7 linked regions of the Kluyveromyces lactis genome follow. The protein of the gene in region 1 purifies or fractionates together with the protein of each later gene. This does not show direct contact. Links are inferred from orthologs where the notes say so. Each region holds a gene or a part of one and is shown in the gene's direction. Other genes may lie near its edges. The genes, in order: NAS6, RPN13, RPN7, RPN6, RPN2, RPT2 and RPN8.

Region 1 (2,369 bases):
AAATGCTTAGCACGACGCACCAAGTTTTCCCTAATCAATCTAGAGACACGTTCTCTTTGGGTAATCAATTGAGAAGCATTAAATTGGGCAACCACCGCCTTCAAAACTTCATTCACGATACTGGGAAGCACTCTTTCATCGTAATCAACACCGAGAGTACGGTAAATCATTGGTAAATTCTCTACGTTAGGTCTGGATAGCACTCTACAGGTGATGTTAACCATCTGTAAATCCTTAGTACCGGTCAATGACGATACATTTCTTGGCTTGGCACGCACATCGTAGACGACCGGGTTTTCAACCCATGGAATGATAAAATGAGTACCTTCTGGGTAAATTCTCGGTTGAACACCGTTGATACGTGAATAAACAATGGCACGGTGACCACCATCAACGTTGAAAAGAGCTTCGTTAGCCAAAAATCCACCACCAATCAACAAAAATAAACCACCTAAAGCCCCAAAGGCACCACGAGGAGGCTGTCCGGAAGGATATTTACCACCTGATTGTTGTGCACGAGCCAATTGTCTTTGTACAGATCTGGCAAACTTACCAAAATCACCTGGATATCTGTTCATTGCGTTCTTTTGATTAAATTATAATAACTTTGCGGGGGGTAAAAACACAGCTTTTGTTTCAAATTTACAGCCAATCAGAAAAGGGCAATGTGCGGTTATATATATAATATTACTGCTGCGATTGTCGTAACCTCCTAGTTCCTTTGCTTGAACCCTTTCCCTTTAAGCAATTTCAAACAACGAACTGAGTTGCTCATTTCTCACTTTGCCACTTAACATCTGAGAAGGGGCGACATCCCCGAAAATATGTTTGTCACAATGCACGGATCACGTGATAAAACATCAACACTCTAGCCTCTGCTCATGGTGGTATAGCCAGGCACCGGGAAGTTGAATGTTATCTGAGACCCATAAGTATCCTATTTAGTACTTAAAACCTGTCAGCTTTCCAAATGTGTACCCAGATTTCGTCCAGGTGTACCAAGTCTTTCCACTGCCGTTTCTTATTTCTTTGATATGAGGTAAAAACCCTTTAAAAAGGGTTTCAACTTAAAGACAGCTTATTTCATACAAGCGTTGGTTGGTCAGAACCATACAAGAGCTGTCCTGGGATCAGTGTATTTGTAAAACATTGAAAGCACAATAAACAATTCAAACTATGGGTGCTGACTTTTTGTTACATGCTGCGTGTATGAACGGAGATACCGAAAAGGTTCAACAGATATTAAGTGAGTTTCCGGGCGCAGTGAAGGTTAAAGATGATGATGGCCGATATCCTTTGCACTGGGCAGTATCATTCCAGCAAGACAACATAATTGATATATTGTTGTCCTATATGAAGAAAATTGATTTGGACACTATTTTGGATGAATCTGGTTGGTCTCCGGTACACATTGCTAGTTCTATCGGTAGCGTTACTATTCTTGAAAAGTTACTTAATCATACTGTTGAACCAAACCTTGATCTACAGGCTAATAATGGGATCACTGCTTTACATTTAGCTTGCTCTAAGAAGCATTTAAATGTGGTTCAACTTTTAGTGGAAAGAGGAGCTTCAGTGAGAATTAAAGATGGCCTTGGTCAATTGCCTTTGCATAGAGCTGCAGCTTCCGGTTCAGTGGGAATTGTGTCGATATTATGCGATAAAAACTCTCCTGTTAATATAAAGGATAAAAACGGATGGTCTCCTTTGTTCCATGCTTTGGCAGAAGGTCACGGCGATGTTGCTGTCACGTTGGTCAACAAGTATCATGCATTATGGGAAGGAGAAACCGACAACGATGACTTGTCCATAGATAAAATCTGTGTTGACGCAAAAGTGAAGGATTACTTTTTGTCAAAGGTTGAATGATTTATCCAATTCGAAGGGGCTGGTAGTTAATGTATGCTTATATACCTGAAACAGTCATTAAATTGAGCTTATAACGATTGATGTGTAGAAGATTCTAAAAAAACAAAATGCAAGATTAAATAAAATTGGCTTCCCTATCAGCAGTTTCGGAGTTTTCATGGATGACCAATTCTTCCTTATATTGAATACCATTAATACCAAGGTCACGTTGTTCATGTTCACTGATTGTTCCATTGGTAGAACCAATCAAAAATAAACCATGGCCAAGAACTTGATCAACCAACTGTAGGGTTATATCCAACAAATTTATAGGAAGGATCATTCCCAACAAGTTATTGTTGTTAGCAAAAATAACAGCATCCTTTATGGACATGGTACCTGGGTCACCATAAATAATGTCTTTAGTATCGAGTGCCATGGACGCTAGGTCATTAGATGTAATTTTCACCAAATCACCATCACTATTCTCGGAAATAACATTCATATCGAACAACACAGGG
Region 2 (2,435 bases), on another chromosome or scaffold:
TGAAGGTGGGAACGATTTAAATTTGGTATTTTCGTCCGGCTTCAATTTTAAATCGTTTGCATTGGAGACTGGATAATTTGTTGTCATGGCATATAACGACGTACTTGTGGCCATTAATTGAGGAGATACAGAATCCGTCAAAAGCTTACCTGTAGCCTGGTCGCGAGTCAAGATTGACTCGAACCCGAACGGATCAATCCTGTTCCTTTTCTGCAATGAGCCGATTTTTTTCGTCACTGAATGTGATGCGATGAACTTTGAAAATATGCTCATCAAGGCAGTAGCCTTTTTCATGATCAATGATCTTTCGTTAGTGGCCATAAAATTTGCTTGAAGTTGAATTCTGACTGCATCTAACTTGTAGTATAAGTCGACCATCTGATCCACGATTTCAAACTCACCAAATGAGTAAAGATAATAAATATGTTTTGTTAATGTGAATAAATTTAACAAGATTTCACGATTTAGCGCATATCCGTTTGCAACGAAAAATGGATATGGAGGTGGAGTTTCTCTTGAAACTTTCGAAGCACGCATTAATTGATACAAACTCGGTAGTTTTTTGAGTCGACCATCCTGTTGCTCTAATTCAGTACCAGTGGGGAACCTCAAGAATGCATAGTTCTCGATCTGCTCGTCAAAATCCAAATGAACAAATCGTCTGGGGAAAATCACTCGTTGAATTTTCTGTTTCGGTAAATTGTCAGTAACAGATCCCATATTGCTCATGAAGTCGATTGGCATTAAATCATTGCTAACATAACCACGGCACCATTTTCCATCCTTGGTCTGTTCCATAACAAAAACTTCATCGCCAGGATACAGATCAACATAATCCGATGATTTCAATACTAGCTCTGGACACTTCTTTAATGGAAGAAACGCTCGGGCAACAGTCCCTGGAATCAATCTATCAGTGGGGATCCATTCGAACTGTCTCAGTTCCGTGTGGTTTGCAGGTGTGTCGCTACTACCATTGGCAGTAGCATCATTATTCGATTTCGTCATTCGTACAAAAAACCACCACTAAATCAATAGTTGTGACGAAAATAGTTGCAAGAGATATCCGAAAACTAGCCAATTGTATCTAGAATTCCGAGTGCATTCACTGATCGGTGTTAATGATGTTGTACAAGTCCAACCCAATGTGCATTCACTTAGTTCTGAATTAAATATCCGTTCATGATGTGATGATTTCTACCATCTTAGTCTTTCCAAGCGGTTTCATAAGAAATTTTTCATAGAAAAATACTACCATATCTTGGTCACATGATTAAGCCTACAACATTATTCTTTTAAGGAAAATATGAACAAATGGCGTCAGCAGTGGCAAACTGTTTAAATAGGACCTACACACACGAAGATATCAATCATAGAACATCTGAGAGATTGTCAGACCAGTGGTATAGGTTTAAAAGAGGAGAGAAGAATATTGATATGACAGAGGCGATCAGTTTTAGGGCAGGAAAATGTGATTATGATGAGGAGAGTAAAATTTGTACGCCGAAGCAGATGAAGGGGGAGATCCAGATCAAACCCAGTGAAGAAGCGCAAGGGTTTTTCGATTTCCAATGGAGCACTAAGGATCGAGTCTCAGGGTCAGCAGTGGAACCAATTGAGTTTATTTTGATTCCCGGAGAGACGAAATGGATCGATATAAAGTCAGCTAAGAACGGCAGAGTGTTATGTTTACTCTTCTCTACTGGTGAGAAATGGTTTTTCTGGTTACAAGAAAAGCACCAAGGCAATGAATCGTTGAACGAATGGAGTGAAAAGGATAAAGAGTTACTTGCTAAGCTTCAGAAACTGTTGGAATTTGAAGAGGAAGAGGAAGAGGAAGAGGAAGTCAAAGAACAAGAACAAGAACAAGAACCGGAAAAGATGGAAATTGACCCTCAAGACAATGAACAGCCGAAGGCCGACTCCAATCCGTAAGTATATACGCGTTGTACATTACTCATTTTGAAGCAATAGATCAAAAATAAGGAACTGTAAACAGTATTTGAGATTTGATAGGCATTTTCAACGTCCAACTCTCCTTCTTTTCAGATCTGTTATTTCCAAATCATTACGATTTTATCATTACCAAATTAAACTATATTTTACTAATACTATGTCCTAGTACCATCCGTATAAACCATCTTTCTGATTTCCTAACTAAAGATATGTTAGTGAAGTATATTGGATCTCTTTCTGAGGAGTCTACCGAATTCAAAGAATTATGTAACTGTTTGCCTGAGGATGTCGAAAAGGGAAAAGAAAACCTTTTGAAATGTGTAAGAGGTCCATTCTTTCAGCAAGCAGTTGACATTTTGGACTTAGCTACGAAGCAGAGCTATTCGGGACAACAACTCTCACAAATGTTTGGATATTCGTATACCGGAGAAGGACCACGAGCTCTACTGGAAGGACTTAGAAATAAGGGCCTCCAGGAA
Region 3 (3,099 bases), on another chromosome or scaffold:
GGTGAGTGTAGCAGATACTAATTGGCTAGTAGTAGAAGGAAAAAAAAATCAAAATTGGGGCGAGCTGGGAATTGAACCCAGGGCCTCTCGCATGCTTTGCAGTAGTTAAACTTCGTTTATCGAAGCTTCGCTAGGCTATTAACCCAAAGCGAGAATCATACCACTAGACCACACGCCCTATATAATTTTGATGTTCCTTTCTTTGACAACTTTGCCACCATACAATAGAGCATCCACACACGTGACTGACAAAAAACACGATCCCACCCTCAAACACTAAAAAAAAAAACTCGAATTTGTTCAGTGTTAACTCGTCGAAATAAAACACGTCTCTTCTTTGAATCAAAATTGGTTATCTGTTTACCTTTATGCTACTTAAGACCACTATATATCGCTATTACCAAGTCAATTGAGCGAGGAACGAGGATATAATAATGCTATACTCTATTGTTTCAGTTCTATTGGTGTTTATCAGTGGATTCTGTGCGGCAGAATCCAGTAACTATGCACCATTTGCGATTTCATTACCTGCATTCTCAAAAGAATGTTTATACCATGACTTGATGTCTGCTGACGACGCCTTAGTGGTAGGTTACCAAGTGTTGACTGGTGGCAACTTTGAAATCGATTTCGAAATCACTTCCCCAGATGGATCCGTCATTATCTCGGAGAAACAAAAGAAATACTCTGATTTCCTATTGAAATCGTTTGGTATCGGTCAATACAAGTTCTGTTTCACAAACACTCACGGTACTGCGCTGAAGAAAGTTGAACTTACGTTAGAATTGGAAAAGAGGACTATGGGGTCCGAGAAGGAGAATCCAGAGGATGTGATCACGAACAATGCAATCGAAGAGATCGACAGAAACTTGAACAAGATCAGAAAGATGATGGACTACCTGAGAGCCAGAGAATGGAGAAATATGTCGACTGTGCAATCTACAGAGTCCCGTATTGTATGGCTATCCATTTTGACAATGGGTATCATGGCCAGTATCAGTACTTTACAAGCTACCGTCGTCCATTTCATGTTCAAAGATCGTCAAAGAAACTATGTTTAAAGGAAAGAAGGCGTGTTTTCAAGAGACCGCTTCATATAAGTATGTACATATGCGTGGATAGAAATACGTAGTACAGCGTACATTGCACAATGACATCTTAAGGTTACTGGATCCTGTGAGGAAAGGCTCACAGGCTTTCGGTATATGTGTGAATATCCGGGTAAGTAATTCGTTAACAAATTGTAAGAACTAAGACTTAAACACATCTAATATAGGAAGAACACAATCATTTGCCACCATCAAACAGAGGGGAACAAGGCATCAAAAGCTGCTTTAGCGTACCAGGGAAGTTACAATTCGAAACAAACGTTATGTCTGAAGATACTGAAGTTCAATACGTGGATCCTAGTGTGAATCGTGTGCCAAATTACGAGGCATCCGATCATGCTTTTGTCCTTGGACAAGGGAATCTCTCTCATCTACATGAAGCCTCAAGGGATGCTTTGTTGAAACTGATCAGAGAAGATCATATGGCTCCATATTATAAACATGTGTGCGAAGAGTTACCCTCGGGAGCCATTGAGTGGGATCAATCCTTTTACGATTCGTTAGTGGCGAAGAACGAAGAAGAGATTAAGAAGTTAAAGGATCATTTAACTGAAATTGAAGAGAAAGACGAAGGTGAGTTGGAGAAGGCTCAATCCTGGATCAATTTAGGTGAGTATTATGCAAAGATTGGTGATAAAGACAACGCCGAGGAAACGTTGACCAAGGCCTTGGATAAAGCTGTGTCTACTGGTGCCAAGATCGATATCATGTTAACTATAACCAGACTTGGATTCTTCTACAACGATCAGCATTACGTGAAGCAGAAGCTAGAAGGAGTCAATGCGATGATTGAGAAAGGTGGTGATTGGGAAAGAAGAAATAGATACAAGACTTATAAGGGGATCCATTCGATGGCCATCAGAGATTTCAAGACCGCTGCGTCCTTACTAGTCGAATCGTTAGCCACTTTCACTTCTACCGAGCTTACCTCGTATGAGAACATCGCTACCTACGCGTTCGTTACTGGGTTATTTGCATTTGAAAGGACTGATTTGAAGGAAAAGATTATCGATTCGCCTGACTTGCTAGCGTTGATGACAACGACGCCAGCGTTACAATCCATATCCTCCCTTTCCATTTCACTTTACACTTCCGAATATAAAAGTTATTTCCCATATTTGTTAGAGACCTACGACAAAGTGCTATTGCCCTCCAAATATTTGAACCAACACGCCGATTATTTTGTAAGGGAAATGAGAAGAATGGTTTACGCTCAACTATTGGAATCTTACAAGACGCTCTCGATAAAATCGATGGCTGGTGCATTCGGCGTCTCTGAAGATTTCTTAGACAAAGATCTAAGCAAATTCATACCAACGAAACAACTCAACTGTGTCATCGACCGTGTCAACGGTATAGTAGAGACAAATCGGCCAGATAACAAGAACGCTCAATACCAACTTCTCGTAAAACAGGGTGATGGATTGATTACAAAACTACAAAAGTATGGTGCGGCTGTTAAGCTTACAGGCACCGATCGTATAATATAGTGGTAGTAGTAGCAGTATAGTAATTATACAGAGTATATAGCTCGAACAAGTATTATTTCGATGCGATGATAAAACCAACGATAGGGTCGAGACACTAATCTTTTGCTTTGTAATGAGAAACCGAAAAAGAATGCGCCTCAAAGACTCTTAGGGCTACCCTCATTTTAGACCTCTTCACCTTACAATTCTCAGTATCGCTATACCGGATTCTGATCGCCAGTTACGTCTTTTGCTATGGGCTGGAAATGGATATTTAACGTTGTCTTCTTTAACGGGTTCATAGGAAGTTCCGTAAAGGTTTTGCTTTAATAGCAAAGCAAATAGCAAAACAACCAAGAAAAGTGCACAGAGGTCGCAGCGCTACCCAACAGAGGCCGAGTGTAAGGATTTAGTACGATACACTACGAGAAAATAAGGGTAGTATGTGTTAACGACGCAAACGAACAGAGGAGAGAGGAGACTACTACTTCCTGGATTACTTCCTGATGGAGTTACCGGAT
Region 4 (3,097 bases), about 1.3 Mb from region 1:
AAAAAGCATCTTAGCTAACGGAGGATGGACGTCGGTAAAGAAGATACCCTTAATGTATTTAGCTGCGAATTTACCGAAATGAACTTCATCGAAAACAACGGAATTTGGATCCGAAAGGTTCCAAAGTCTCACAACGGATGCGATAACAGCCAATGCAATAACAACCAAACGTTCTTTACTAGAAGTCATCGTACGGATAGATTTCAAATTCTTTGGTGGCTCAGTGACCAAGAAAGGTCTCAATGGACCTTTCTCAACTTGAATGTCACCAACGCTATCAACATCGAGAACACAATCTTGTACTTTAGTAGAGGTCTTAGTCTTACCCATTTTCTACAACAAAATCAAACAGAGAGTGAGACTGAGATACCTTTACAATGAGAAATACAATCAATGATCAGATCAGATCAGATACAGATACAGACAACAGATGTTTTCTCACTTCGAAAAAGCCTTGGAAATGGTAACTAAATGTTTGAGAAGAGAGAACAAAAAAAAACCAATTCAAAAATTCAATTCCAGTTCAAAGGTCCCAATTGAAATTGTCTAGCTCCTATCTAAGTTTCCCACAGATACTGGTCGACTGATACCTCTATCTGCAAAAGAAAACCTAAGTTTATTCCACCCAAAACTTGCCAAAATGAACACGTCTCTGTTTAATTTCATCCATACTATTATTTCAAATATATTTATATAATATTTACCCATACCGAGCTTTCAGTGAAATTAAGTTTTTTTTCTTTCAGATATCTACAAATAGGTGATTTTAGGTGTTTGAGGTGAAAATTATGAGTTACAGGTGTGTAATTGCTGCAGAACATGTGAGAGACAATGAACCTGAGGATGTGGATTACCAGTACCGATCAGCATATGCGGCAGATGAGAGTGAGGAGTTTAAAGATTGGCTGAAGTGAATGCAGTGAAGGGTCTTTCACGTGCTATTCTCGAGGAATGGTAAACACATCACGGAGGACGAAACGCGACTATTTTTCCTTTTTTTCGTGCGGATGTATCTGTGCTAAGATTAGGACAGTAAAGGAAATCTAATTTCGATTCACGTGACGTATAAGTCACGTGAATAGTCTACCCTTATTCAAGTTACGTACCAAATGATCGCCTTGAATTGAACCAGTTTCTGTAGTAGAATGATATATATAATCTTGTCCAAGAGATTATAGTTAAAGTAAATTAAATAAGGTGGCAAACCGAAAACATCGAGGTAGACACAATTGGCGCTACACCTGCCAGAGATCGTCTAGCAGAAGCTGAAGTTAAACTACGAAAGGAACAGGAAAGAAAGCAAATAATCCCACTTAGATATGTCGTTGGAAGAAGCTAGAAATCTTGTAGGGAAGGAAGATTATGAGAAGGCTGAAGCGCAGTTCTTAGCAGTATTGAACCATCAAGATGCCGCACAACCCCAATCAATTAGCAATAAAGATGCTCAAGAAAAGGAACAATGTATTCTTGAGCTAGGTCAATTGTATGGTACCACACATCAGTTGAAGAAACTCGCCGAGTTTGTACCACGCTCTCGTGAATACATGATGAAAGTAGCGAAATCAAAGATTGCCAAAGTTTTAAAGACGTTACTTAACGATTTCGAATTGATACCCGATTCCTTGGATACCCAAATCGAGATATGCGAAGATTCGATCGACTTTGCCACAAAGGAGAAGAGAATCTTTTTAAAGCATTCTCTATCGATTAGGTTGGCAACTCTTTACTACCAAAAGACGCATTACAACGAATCCTTGCAATTGATCAATGATTTGTTGAGGCAGTTTAAGAAATTGGACGATAAATCGTCTTTGCTCGAAGTTCATCTATTGGAATGTAAAGTGTACCATAAATTAAGAAATTTGACTAAATCAAAGGCTGCTTTGACAAGTGCTAGAACATCCGCAAATTCGATTTATTGTCCAACATTGACAATGGCAGAATTGGATTTAATGAGTGGTATCTTACACTGTGAAGACAAAGATTATAAGACTGCTTTCTCATACTTTTATGAATCCTTTGAAGCCTTCCACAGCCAAACTGGCTCAAACACATTCGGAAAAGCTTGTCAAGTGCTAAAGTATATGCTTCTTTCAAAGATCATGCTTAATTTGATTGATGAAGTGAAAACTATCTTGAACGCCAAATATACTAAGGAGACCTACCAAAGTCGCGGAATTGACGCCATGAAGGCAGTCGCTGAGGCTTATAATAATAGATCCCTACTGGAGTTCAATACAGCAATGCAAAATTATAAGACAGAATTGATGGGCGATGAACTCATTAGATCACATTTCAATGCATTATACGACACCCTTTTGGAATCAAATCTTAGTAAGATCATCGAACCATTCGAATGTGTTGAAGTATCGCATATCTCAAAGATTATCGGGCTTGATGCTCAACAAGTAGAGGGCAAACTTTCACAAATGATTTTAGACAAAGTTTTCTTTGGTGTGCTTGACCAAGGAAACGGATGGCTTTATATTTATGAGACACCACAACAGGATGCCACTTATGATTCTTCGTTAGAATTGATCAATCAACTCAATGGAGTTGTAGAACAACTCTTTGAAAAAGCCGCTGTATTATACTAAAATTAAAAATTCATTATAATACGCTCATCCTTCAATCATTAAAGTAACTTAGTAAATAAATATATTTTACGTAGGTTTAAGATCATTCGAAATTCAAATAAAGTATTCCTCCGGTACCTTGAAAGGTACGCCCAATATTTTAGCAAACTCTTTGTCACTGTCACTAAAATCATTTGGTCTTCCTGCAGCATCCCCGCAGTAAAATAAAAGTTCAATTGAGTCCGATTGTTCGTCAGAATCTTTAAGAAATTCATCAAACAAACCACGATTGGGTTTTCTCACATTATCAAACATTTCAGGTGTTACCATTGTCCCGTTTATTCTTTTCTTCTGGCCAGAAATAATGTTCTTAACAACTTTATTTGCGTGAGCAGTGCTGGCGGCTTTGCTGCCACCAAAAAGGGAAGCTGGTTTTTTAGTAGCACAGTAAATCCAAATACGATCACACAGTTGAGAATCGTTTTCCGATATGTATTTCAATACTTTGCAAATTTTATCAA
Region 5 (3,994 bases), on another chromosome or scaffold:
CATATTGGTTCTCAATTATCTGTTTTGGCTGAAGCTCTTGGTATGAACGTTCTCTACTATGATATTGTCACTATTATGAGTTTGGGTACTGCTAAGCAGGTTTCTACTTTGAATGAATTGTTGAACAATTCTGACTTTGTGACTTGTCATGTTCCAGCTACTCCAGAAACTAAAAACTTATTGTCTGGTCCTCAATTTGCTGCTATGAAGGATGGCTCATACGTTATCAACGCATCTAGAGGGACTGTGGTTGATATTCCTGCTTTGATTCAAGCAATGAGAGCGGGCAAGATTGCCGGTGCCGCTTTGGATGTGTATCCAAATGAACCTGCTAAGAATGGTGCTGGTGCCTTCAGTGATAATTTGAACACATGGACAACTGATTTGGTCTCCTTACCAAATGTTATCTTGACTCCACACATTGGTGGGTCTACTGAAGAAGCCCAAAGTTCTATTGGTATCGAAGTGGCTACTGCACTAACGAAATACATCAACGAAGGTAACACCGTCGGTGCCGTTAACTTCCCAGAAGTTTCATTAAGAGCATTAGATCTGGATCAAGAAAACACTGTACGTGTACTATATATCCATCAAAATGTTCCTGGTGTTTTGAAAACTGTCAACAACATCTTGTCCAACCACAACATCGAAAAGCAGTTCTCTGATTCTAACGGGGACATCGCATATTTGATGGCTGATATTTCAAATGTTAACCAAAGTGATATCAAACAAATATACGATGAGTTGAACGAAACTGACTACAAGATTTCAATCAGATTACTATATTAAAATGCTATGTTAGAATACTAATTCAACTTAGTTGCTTTTCACTTCAATTATAATATCGGTATAGATAAAGGATAGAACGTATAATTATATATTGTATGCATGATAATAGTGCTTCTCGATTTTGTAAATGGTGCAATATTGATCAACTGGACAACTGCGACTATCTTGCAAAGCACATTTCCTGATGGAGGTGGAGAGCATATTCTTGAAGAGGCTCTATAAAATCATTCTATACGATTAGGGTAGTTTTTGTATGGTTTCTGATTTAATTTGACAAACGGTGGCAAACTTTAGAACAGAAGCTTCAAAAGTATATAAATAAAGTCATTTACTATTCGCACCACATCTGCACATTACCAGGTTACATCGAGACTTAAGGTATTTAAAGCCGTAAACTCAACCAGAATGTCAGTTACATCTGCATTGCCGCTTTTGGCGTTATTGAAGGAATCTGACAACACTGTTAAGACTCATGCATTACAATCAATTAAAGACGTGGTAGATCAACAGTGGTCCGAGATATCAAATGATATTACCGAAATAGAAGCATTGTATGATGATGTATCCTTTCCTGATCGTAGACTAGCAGCAATTGTGGCCTCAAAAGTGTATTATAACCTTGGAGAATATCAACTAGCGGTTAAGTATGCCCTAGCTGCAGGAGAGTATTTGAATATCGATGAACAGTCGCAATATGTCGAAACGATTGTGTCACAGAGTATCGAAATGTATATTGAATTTGCTTCTAGTAACTACGAATCGGAACCTGTTGAAATTGATCCACATTTGGTTTCTATCTTTGAGAGAATGTTGAAGAAGTGTGTTTCTTCAGGGGAGTATAAACTTGCATTGGGAATCGCATTAGAAAGTTACAGACTTGATGTTGTTGAGAAGCTTCTCACTTCCCAGGACACCAGTACTAATGCCCTCAAATTGTGCTCTTACACATTGGCTGTATGTACCACTGCATTAACCAATACTCGCTTTAAATTGAGCGTATTGAAGAAGTTGTATGAAATTGTCATGAACATGCCTGCCCCAGACTACTTTATTATCTCAAAAATTATCGTACAGTTAAATGATATCGAATTTGCCAAGGAGCTCTTCTTCAAGTTAAATTCAACTAAATCATATGATGTTTCCTACCAAATCGCTTTTGACCTAGTAAACTCAGCCTCTCAGGGATTATTGAAGGATCTTTCTAATTCCTTGGACGCCAATGTATACGATCCTAAGTTACTTGAAATCCTTTCCGGTATACCCACCTGCGATTTGCAAAACACTTTTCTATTTGAGAACAAAACCATAGACAAGGCTCTTCTGAATAAGATGAAATCATCTTTGGATGGTAAATTCTCCTTATTCCACACAGCTGTGAGTGTGTCCAATGCTTTTATGCACGCAGGGACTACGGATGATAGTTTTATCAGACAAAATTTACAATGGTTAGGCAAAGCCCAAAACTGGGCCAAATTTACCGCTACTGCTTCACTAGGTGTTATTCACCAAGGCAACCTCTCAGATGGAAGAAAGATAATGGAGCCTTATTTGCCAGGAAATGGTTCAAAATCGAGGTATATCAAAGGTGGTTCATTATATGGTCTAGGTTTAATTTTTGCCGGCTACGGTAAGGAATCAACTGACTACTTAAAAGAGCAAATTCAAGCTAATAGTTCTTCCGTTGGAGAAGAGGATGTAGATGTGTTGCTACATGGTGCTTGTTTAGGTATTGGGTTGTCAGGTATGGGCTCGGACGATGTGAATGTTTGTGAGATGTTGAAAGAAGTGTTATATGGAGACTCAGCTAAATCTGGTGATGCGGCTGCTTTGGCTATTGGTTTAATTTTACTAGGTTCAGGTAACCAAACTGTTATTCAGGACTTGTTAACTTACGCAGAAGAGACTCAACACGGTAATATCACAAGAAGTTTATCGATTGCCTTAGCTCTCATAAATTACGGCAAAGAGGAACTAGCTGACGACTTGATTGATAAGTTACTAGCCAGTGAGAACGCCCTGTTACGCTATGGTGGTGCCTACACAATCGCCTTAGCCCATGCAGGGACCGGAAATAATAAGGCTGTGAAAAAACTTCTTCACGTCGCAGTCTCGGACTCCGACGACGATGTTAGAAGGGCAGCAGTCACTGCCCTAGGTTTCGTGTTAATTCGTGAATATACTACCGTCCCAAGAATCGTAGAACTTTTGTCAAAATCACATAACGCTCATGTCCGTTGTGGTACTGCGTTCGCTTTGGGTGTATCCTGCGCTGGTAGAGGCTTACAGGCAGCTGTGGATGTATTAGAACCTCTTTTGAAGGATCCAGTTGATTATGTTCGTCAAGCTGCTATGATTGCCACTTCAATGATATTGATTCAGCAGACTGAAAAAACGAATTCAAAGGTGAAGGAAGTTAATGAACAGTTCATGTCAGTAATTGGAAACAAGCACCAGGAAGGACTAGCAAAGTTCGGTGCCTGTATTGCCCAAGGTATCATGAACGCTGGTGGTAGGAATGTAACCATCGAATTGGAGAACACCGAAATGGGAACTTTGAACAGTAGATCAATAATTGGTTTAATGATGTTCTCCCAATTTTGGTACTGGTTCCCATTGTCCCACTTTTTATCGCTTTCGTTCACTCCAACTACCTTAGTGGGTTTGCGTGCTAGCGATTTGGCAATTCCTAAATTTGCTTTCAAATGTCATACGAAGGAGGGAATTTTCACCTATCCTCGCATGTACGAAGAAGAGGTGGACAAAAATATAGAAAAGTTTGCAGCTGCCGTCTTGTCAACTACCGCCAAGGCCAAGGCAAGAGCTAAGAAAGGTAAAAAAGGAGAACATGAAAAGGTTAAAGAAAAGGATGCAGAAAAAGTAAATGAAGAAAAGCAAGAGGTGGAACTGGAGGAAAAAAAGAAGGAAGAGGCCAAGAATACTGAAGAAGCTAAGATCAAATACACGACAACGAGCTATGATGTTGAAAACCTCACCCGTGTGCTTCCGCAGCAACTCAAATTCATATCTTTTGCGAAAGATAGCCGTTTTGTACCTGTTCGCAAATTCAGAGGAAACTCAGGTGTCATTATCGTTGAGGATAAGACACCTGAAGAACCACTAGAATTAATCAAGACCGTAAGACAAACAAAAGATATATATGCCCCATTACCATCTTCATTTAAAGTCGAGGATTCTCTTGAATTTT
Region 6 (3,038 bases), on another chromosome or scaffold:
AGAGAGAAACAACGCCTCTTCTACCACCTCTTGTACCTAGAATTCAACAATCAAGGATGCGCACGGATCCAAATGTCTGAAACTGTCGCCGGATAAGTCTGCTGGTCGTCACTACCCGGTATAATTAGGTGGTTGCCATGTTCTTTTCAAATATGTCTTCGGGGTTTTAGTTTGTTTCGTGTTTTCGCTTTAGAAAAAATTCGAAGCTGGACCATGTTTTCTTCGTCAGTTGTGATAGTATCACGTGACTTAATCATGACACGTGACTTGGTTCTTTATTGTATTTCAGGGTTCATTGTTGTATTCACTATAACCACCGTATTCGAATCTATACTTGGGTCCTTCTTTTGGCGCTGCTGCTGCTATACCTGCTGGACCAACCGAACCTGTTGGCGGCACAGGTGACATGGCAGCGGTGCCAGGGGTTTTACTAGTGGTATTTCCTGCGGCAGCATCAATGCTGGCTCCGGCACTGGTACCGGCAAATTGGTTTTTAGATCCTTTGTTGTTCGGTTGCTCCCTCATGCCAGCTAACGGACCAACGCCGATTCTGGACAACGCTAACTCCGCGCTTGTGTTATCAAGGTTCAAATCGTTGACAATGTACCCTGTTTCCTTGCACAATTCTTTAACTCTTAGTATCAGCTCGACTTCTTCTCTGTTCTTGAGATCGACTTGTTCCTGTAACGAATTCACGTATTCTACCGCCTGCGTTAGAATTTGTCCCTTTGTGGGCTTGTTAGCATTTGCACTGGTCCCCTTGGATTTAGAAACCGGTTCGTCTTTGATCTTAGGATCGCTGTTCTTTCTATAATACTCTTCGAAAAATTCTTCAGGAATAATACTCAAAAATTGTTGGATTAGTTCATTGATATTACCACGCTTGGCACCATCGTCATCATTCATGGTTAAAATTAGTAAGATAGAGACTTATACCGATGGTAAGATGCAGTATTGATGCTACTTTCCTTCACCTTTTTCTTGCCAACTCACAGCATTCAAACTGTTTTCATCTGTTATTATTTCATTTTATATCAAAAGTCAGGATTTGGAATAACTAAATATTAGAAAAGCCAGTGGCGAAATTAAAGATCAACCTTTACAAGATACACGCCTAACAGCACAACATTAGGTATATCAGCTTGTTACCGTCCAATTATCGAGTTGCATTGAGGCACGAACTATTAGCTGGCAGTAAGGCATCAAGGTATAAGTTAAGTTACAGCACGAACAATGGGTCAAGGAGCTTCTTCTCATGGGCAGAAGAAAAAGGATAAGAAACAAAAGCCAAAATATGAGCCACCAGTAGAATCAAAATTCGGTAGAAAGAAGAGAAAGGGGCCCTCTACGGTGGAGAAACTTCCTAGCGTTTATCCAAGCACAAGATGTAAGTTAAAACTTTTGAGAATGGAACGTATAAAAGATCATTTGCTATTGGAAGAAGAGTATGTGACAAACTCTGAGATCTTGAAACCATTTGAGAAGAAACAAGAGGAAGAAAAGAAGCAGCTAGACGATATCAGAGGTACTCCGTTATCTATTGGTACTTTAGAAGAAATTGTGGACGATGACCATGCTATAGTGACAAGCCCTACGACACCAGACTACTACGTTTCCATTTTGTCCTTTGTTGACAAAGAGCTATTAGAACCCGGCTGTTCTGTGTTATTACACCATAAGACCATGTCAGTTGTTGGTGTCTTGCAAGACGATGCCGATCCAATGGTTTCTGTGATGAAGATGGATAAATCACCAACAGAAAACTACAGTGATATCGGTGGATTAGAGGCACAAATTCAAGAGATTAAAGAAGCAGTCGAGTTGCCACTAACGCATCCTGAACTATACGAAGAAATGGGTATCAAACCACCAAAGGGTGTCATATTGTATGGTGCTCCAGGTACAGGTAAGACGTTATTGGCAAAGGCTGTGGCGAACCAGACTTCTGCTACATTTTTAAGAATTGTGGGATCCGAATTGATTCAGAAATATCTAGGTGACGGTCCAAGACTCTGTAGACAAATTTTCAAAGTCGCTGCAGAGAATGCGCCAAGTATAGTCTTTATCGATGAAATCGATGCTATTGGTACCAAGAGATATGAATCAAACAGTGGCGGTGAGAAAGAGATTCAAAGAACTATGTTGGAACTTTTAAACCAATTGGACGGGTTTGATGATAGAGGTGATGTGAAAGTCATCATGGCTACAAACAAAATCGAAAGTTTAGATCCAGCTTTGATCAGACCCGGAAGAATCGACCGTAAGATTTTGTTCGAAAACCCCGATATAACAACAAAGAGAAAAATCGTCGGTATTCATACATCTAAGATGAACTTAGCAGAGGACGTAGACCTAGATAATTTGGTCACTTCAAAAGATGACCTATCAGGTGCAGACATCAAAGCAATGTGTACAGAAGCGGGGCTTTTGGCTCTAAGAGAAAGAAGAATGCAAGTCACAGCACAAGATTTCAAGGAAGCAAAAGAACGTGTACTCAAAAATAAGGTTGAAGAAAACTTGGAAGGTTTGTACTTATAAGTAGGGATTAATCTTCATATATATATATATATATATATATATATATACTACAGTTTAATATCTTTAATATCTTCACATATCCAAATTCAATCTCCCTGCCGCCAACATTTATGCAATGATTTATCAATCTAAGTTTGTATTTTTAACCTTTTACACTTTCACAACTTTTCGGGCAGATAGAGGGAAACGATAAATATAGAAATTACGAAAAGTTGAACTTTAAATGTTTTAAAGATTGAAAGGACAACAGTATAATGAGATGAGTAGAAATAAACTGCAAACTAACAAGAGCCTTGCAGTATATACGAGGTGAAGAAACCTGTGACTTGTGATTGCGAGAGAAAGCACAATTAGTTATTGTCAATTTTTTTCCTTATCTCGTTTCTAACAACTGCATTATTGATTGGAATTTTTTTGATAAAAGTTCAATTAGTTCATATTTAAGGACTGACAAAACTTTGTGGTCTTTTCAAGGAGCTATATAACTGGATAAGTTCCAT
Region 7 (3,001 bases), on another chromosome or scaffold:
CCTAACATAGTTGGTGCCTTGTTTTTCTTCCCATTCCCTGAGCGCCGATTCCCATTCGTCGTCTTCGTTGACGTCGATCTCTTTTGCTTGCATTTCCCTTTCTTTGAGCTGCTGGTCACGTGCTTCCTTTTCTAGTTTATCATACGTCTCTTTATTTTCGATCCATCTATCATGAACGTCGTAGTTGACCATGGCTGCGCCTTGTCTACTAGCTTCTGCCCATACTGTATCTCCTCCTATTTCGCTCGAACCAAATATGTATCCGTTCGCTTTATCTATAACACTTTGTAAATTGATCATCGATTGTTTGTCATCAATGGCAAGGACCTCGAAAGAAACTAAATTGAAATCAGAGACCATTTCACCGATGGTTTCAGTGAGCCTTGAGTATTTTCTCCCTAATACACCCGACCCTTCCTTCTCAATAAGTGGATTTAGATATTCCAATTCTTGGACCTCCGTGAAGTAATCCAATCTGAAAGGCAACTCTCCGTATCCCTTTAGCATATCGATCTTTGAGAAGACATTGATGTGTGGAAGATCCATCATTAGCATCGATCTTAGTGCAAGTAGAAGGATCGAAACGTACTGCGAGGGAGAAGTAATGTAAATACAATCGATCAAATTCACAACACATAGCCTGATATCCAAATCCTTCTCTAGTCGTTTGAAAATCTTGAACAACGCCGAATTGTGTGTGAATAATTCGACTTGCCCGGGACAGTCAAAGACTAGGTATGCTTTCTCCTCTTGTACTAACGATTTGATCTGCAATATGAACAAATCGATCGACTCATTTAAAGACTCTATCGCATACATTAACCCACCATTCGGACCCAAATGCTGTTCTGACATAATCTCTTCTAGCGTGATATAGTCTCTAATATCGACCGAACACGGATACGGGAGCCGATGGTTGGCTGGATCCATATTTATCACTTGAACATGTCTTCCGATTGCATTGAAAAACTGGGAACAACCATGACAGTACGTTGATTTACCAGACCCTGGAGGTCCAATCACAATTTGGCCAAATGGCATCTTTATATTTATTTTCTAGAGTATACCCAAGGTCTTCGTACAAACCGTAAGCCGTCTTGTCTCCTCCCTAACCGTATAAACATGTCCTTTCATCTCATCTCATTGCACAGAATCTTTTTAATATTAAGCATTGAATTATGTTCGCTTCGCAGTTCCTAATATTTCGAGATTTGAAAATAAAAAAAATGAAATAGCATTAAGAACATTAGTGGCAAATATTAATTTGACAAAAATACCTGAAATAATGGGGCACTTGAAGATCTATACACTCCTGAAAGCGAAACTGTGATAATACTTTGAGATTGTACTAATTGAATTACCGTGACCAATCTAGCGTTTTGGGGTTTACTTATAAAAGAGAGTCAAAAAAAGTGCTTAGTCAATCTGCATTTCTGATAAGCTAAGAGAATAGAAATCAAACTATAAATTGGAAACAGCTTGGCAACAACCAATTGATAATGTCTGTACCTTACGAACAAGTTTCAGTTGCACCATTGGTGTTACTTTCCGTATTAGACCATCATCAGCGTACAAATACTCCGGAGAACAAGAGATGTTTAGGTGTCATTCTAGGTGATAGTTCCACGGCAACCGTGAGGATAACTAATTCGTTTGCGTTGCCGTTCGAAGAAGACGAGAAGAATCCAGACGTTTGGTTCCTAGATCACAACTACATCGAGACCATGAACGAGATGTGTAAAAAGATCAATGCGAAAGAGAAGCTAATTGGTTGGTATCACAGTGGTGGGAAATTAAGGGCTTCTGATTTAAAGATTAACGAGTTGTTCAAGAAGTACAGTACCAACAATAATCCCGTGTTGTTGATACTCGATGTGAAACAAGAGGATATCGGACTACCAACGAACGCATATGTGGCTGTGGAACAGATCAAGGATGATGGTACTTCGACTGAGCGGACCTTTATACATATCCCAAGCACTGTGGAAGCAGACGAGGCGGAAGAAATTGGTGTTGAACATCTACTCAAAGATGTCCGTGATCAAGCTGCAGCTGGTTTATCTATAAAGCTAACTAATCAATTAAATTCTCTTAGGGGCTTGCAAAGAAAATTGAAAGACATAGTAGCATACTTGGAAAAAGTGGCAAACAACGAGTTACCTGTGAACCACATAATTTTAGGAAAATTGCAAGACATTTTCAATCTTCTTCCAAACCTCGGAACCCCAGATAAAGATGAAATGATCGGCTCAAGTCATGTCTTAGACAATGTTACCAACAATTTGGAAAAAGCCCTCACAGTTAAAACCAATGACGAACTAATGATCATTTACATAAGTAATCTGGTCAGAGCCATAGTTGCATTTGATAACTTGATTGAGAACAAAATTCAAAATAAGAAACTTCTTGAAAAGCATTCGAAAGTTGAAGTAGAACAAAAGGAGGATGCCACTAATGACGGCATCCCTGCTGAGTCGAATTCGGTACCTACTAAGAACTGATGCAACTCTTTTAATAAACCGAAACGAAAATAATCAAATATAGTATTTTCTGTATACTAAGTTACAACTACGCCATATTTCCTAAAAATTTAATGAGAATTTAAATGAAGCAGTATGTATGTCTATATCTAAGATCAGCACCATTGGCATCGATATGGAACTGATCAATGAATTAAATGGATCTCCGGTACCGGTTCGTTAGTTCTCGTCAACCTCTTCAGATTGATTCCTTCTAATATATCAAATTCGCATCTCTTCATATAAGAAAATTTTATGAAGATTAAAGATCGAGGAAATTGTTCATTGCGCACAATTTTGAAGGTAAAAACCATTCTGAGACAACAGTGTATTTACCAGACCGAGGCCCAGTTAACCAAGATAATATATTCCATCAACTGCTAGTTGAAGATTGAGTATGTCACTGGTAATCCAGCCTCTACTTATGAGGGCATTGAACCCCAACTTATCCAGTATTTTAATATCGGGGCGTGGGTTTAGTT

The links.
Region 2: the proteins of NAS6 (region 1) and RPN13 purify together in Saccharomyces cerevisiae (affinity purification with mass spectrometry; 3 studies listed by BioGRID, with this or other methods). This does not show direct contact. The link is inferred for Kluyveromyces lactis from reciprocal best matches to the Saccharomyces cerevisiae genes NAS6 and RPN13.
Region 3: the proteins of NAS6 (region 1) and RPN7 purify together in Saccharomyces cerevisiae (affinity purification with mass spectrometry; 3 studies listed by BioGRID, with this or other methods). This does not show direct contact. The link is inferred for Kluyveromyces lactis from reciprocal best matches to the Saccharomyces cerevisiae genes NAS6 and RPN7.
Region 4: the proteins of NAS6 (region 1) and RPN6 purify together in Saccharomyces cerevisiae (affinity purification with mass spectrometry; 4 studies listed by BioGRID, with this or other methods). This does not show direct contact. The link is inferred for Kluyveromyces lactis from reciprocal best matches to the Saccharomyces cerevisiae genes NAS6 and RPN6.
Region 5: the proteins of NAS6 (region 1) and RPN2 purify together in Saccharomyces cerevisiae (affinity purification with mass spectrometry; 5 studies listed by BioGRID, with this or other methods). This does not show direct contact. The link is inferred for Kluyveromyces lactis from reciprocal best matches to the Saccharomyces cerevisiae genes NAS6 and RPN2.
Region 6: the proteins of NAS6 (region 1) and RPT2 purify together in Saccharomyces cerevisiae (affinity purification with mass spectrometry; 3 studies listed by BioGRID, with this or other methods). This does not show direct contact. The link is inferred for Kluyveromyces lactis from reciprocal best matches to the Saccharomyces cerevisiae genes NAS6 and RPT2.
Region 7: the proteins of NAS6 (region 1) and RPN8 purify together in Saccharomyces cerevisiae (affinity purification with mass spectrometry; 5 studies listed by BioGRID, with this or other methods). This does not show direct contact. The link is inferred for Kluyveromyces lactis from reciprocal best matches to the Saccharomyces cerevisiae genes NAS6 and RPN8.

Annotation. Positions count from the first base shown.
Region 1 is NC_006041.1:1,406,002-1,408,370, reverse strand, and holds NAS6 (Nas6p), read left to right. Parts: upstream 1-1,176; coding exon 1,177-1,869; downstream 1,870-2,369. Other genes in the region: prohibitin subunit PHB2, read right to left, coding at 1-578; PHO81 (Pho81p), read right to left, coding at 1,985-2,369. UniProt on the Saccharomyces cerevisiae protein: Acts as a chaperone during the assembly of the 26S proteasome, specifically of the 19S regulatory complex (RC) and appears to have an overlapping role with RPN14.
Region 2 is NC_006040.1:245,012-247,446, forward strand, and holds RPN13 (proteasome regulatory particle lid subunit RPN13), read left to right. Parts: upstream 1-1,314; coding exon 1,315-1,935; downstream 1,936-2,435. Other genes in the region: guanine nucleotide exchange factor DCK1, read right to left, coding at 1-1,008; KLLA0_D02904g (uncharacterized protein), read left to right, coding at 2,166-2,435. UniProt on the Saccharomyces cerevisiae protein: Component of the 19S cap proteasome complex which acts as a regulatory subunit of the 26S proteasome, involved in the ATP-dependent degradation of ubiquitinated proteins.
Region 3 is NC_006040.1:1,236,818-1,239,916, forward strand, and holds RPN7 (proteasome regulatory particle lid subunit RPN7), read left to right. Parts: upstream 1-1,372; coding exon 1,373-2,599; downstream 2,600-3,099. Other genes in the region: ERP4 (Erp4p), read left to right, coding at 435-1,061. UniProt on the Saccharomyces cerevisiae protein: Component of the 19S cap proteasome complex which acts as a regulatory subunit of the 26S proteasome, involved in the ATP-dependent degradation of ubiquitinated proteins.
Region 4 is NC_006041.1:136,878-139,974, forward strand, and holds RPN6 (proteasome regulatory particle lid subunit RPN6), read left to right. Parts: upstream 1-1,319; coding exon 1,320-2,597; downstream 2,598-3,097. Other genes in the region: dolichyl-phosphate-mannose-protein mannosyltransferase PMT1, read right to left, coding at 1-330; TPP1 (polynucleotide 3'-phosphatase), read right to left, coding at 2,691-3,097. UniProt on the Saccharomyces cerevisiae protein: Component of the lid subcomplex of the 26S proteasome, a multiprotein complex involved in the ATP-dependent degradation of ubiquitinated proteins. In the complex, RPN6 is required for proteasome assembly.
Region 5 is NC_006039.1:807,379-811,372, reverse strand, and holds the start of RPN2 (proteasome regulatory particle base subunit RPN2), read left to right. Parts: upstream 1-1,194; coding exon 1,195-3,994. Other genes in the region: KLLA0_C09306g (uncharacterized protein), read left to right, coding at 1-789. UniProt on the Saccharomyces cerevisiae protein: Acts as a regulatory subunit of the 26S proteasome which is involved in the ATP-dependent degradation of ubiquitinated proteins.
Region 6 is NC_006042.1:1,360,731-1,363,768, forward strand, and holds RPT2 (proteasome regulatory particle base subunit RPT2), read left to right. Parts: upstream 1-1,233; coding exon 1,234-2,538; downstream 2,539-3,038. Other genes in the region: RTG1 (Rtg1p), read right to left, coding at 286-906. UniProt on the Saccharomyces cerevisiae protein: The 26S proteasome is involved in the ATP-dependent degradation of ubiquitinated proteins. The regulatory (or ATPase) complex confers ATP dependency and substrate specificity to the 26S complex. Has ATPase activity.
Region 7 is NC_006039.1:826,610-829,610, forward strand, and holds RPN8 (proteasome regulatory particle lid subunit RPN8), read left to right. Parts: upstream 1-1,499; coding exon 1,500-2,501; downstream 2,502-3,001. Other genes in the region: GTPase GPN2, read right to left, coding at 1-1,041; COX10 (protoheme IX farnesyltransferase), read left to right, coding at 2,917-3,001. UniProt on the Saccharomyces cerevisiae protein: Acts as a regulatory subunit of the 26S proteasome which is involved in the ATP-dependent degradation of ubiquitinated proteins.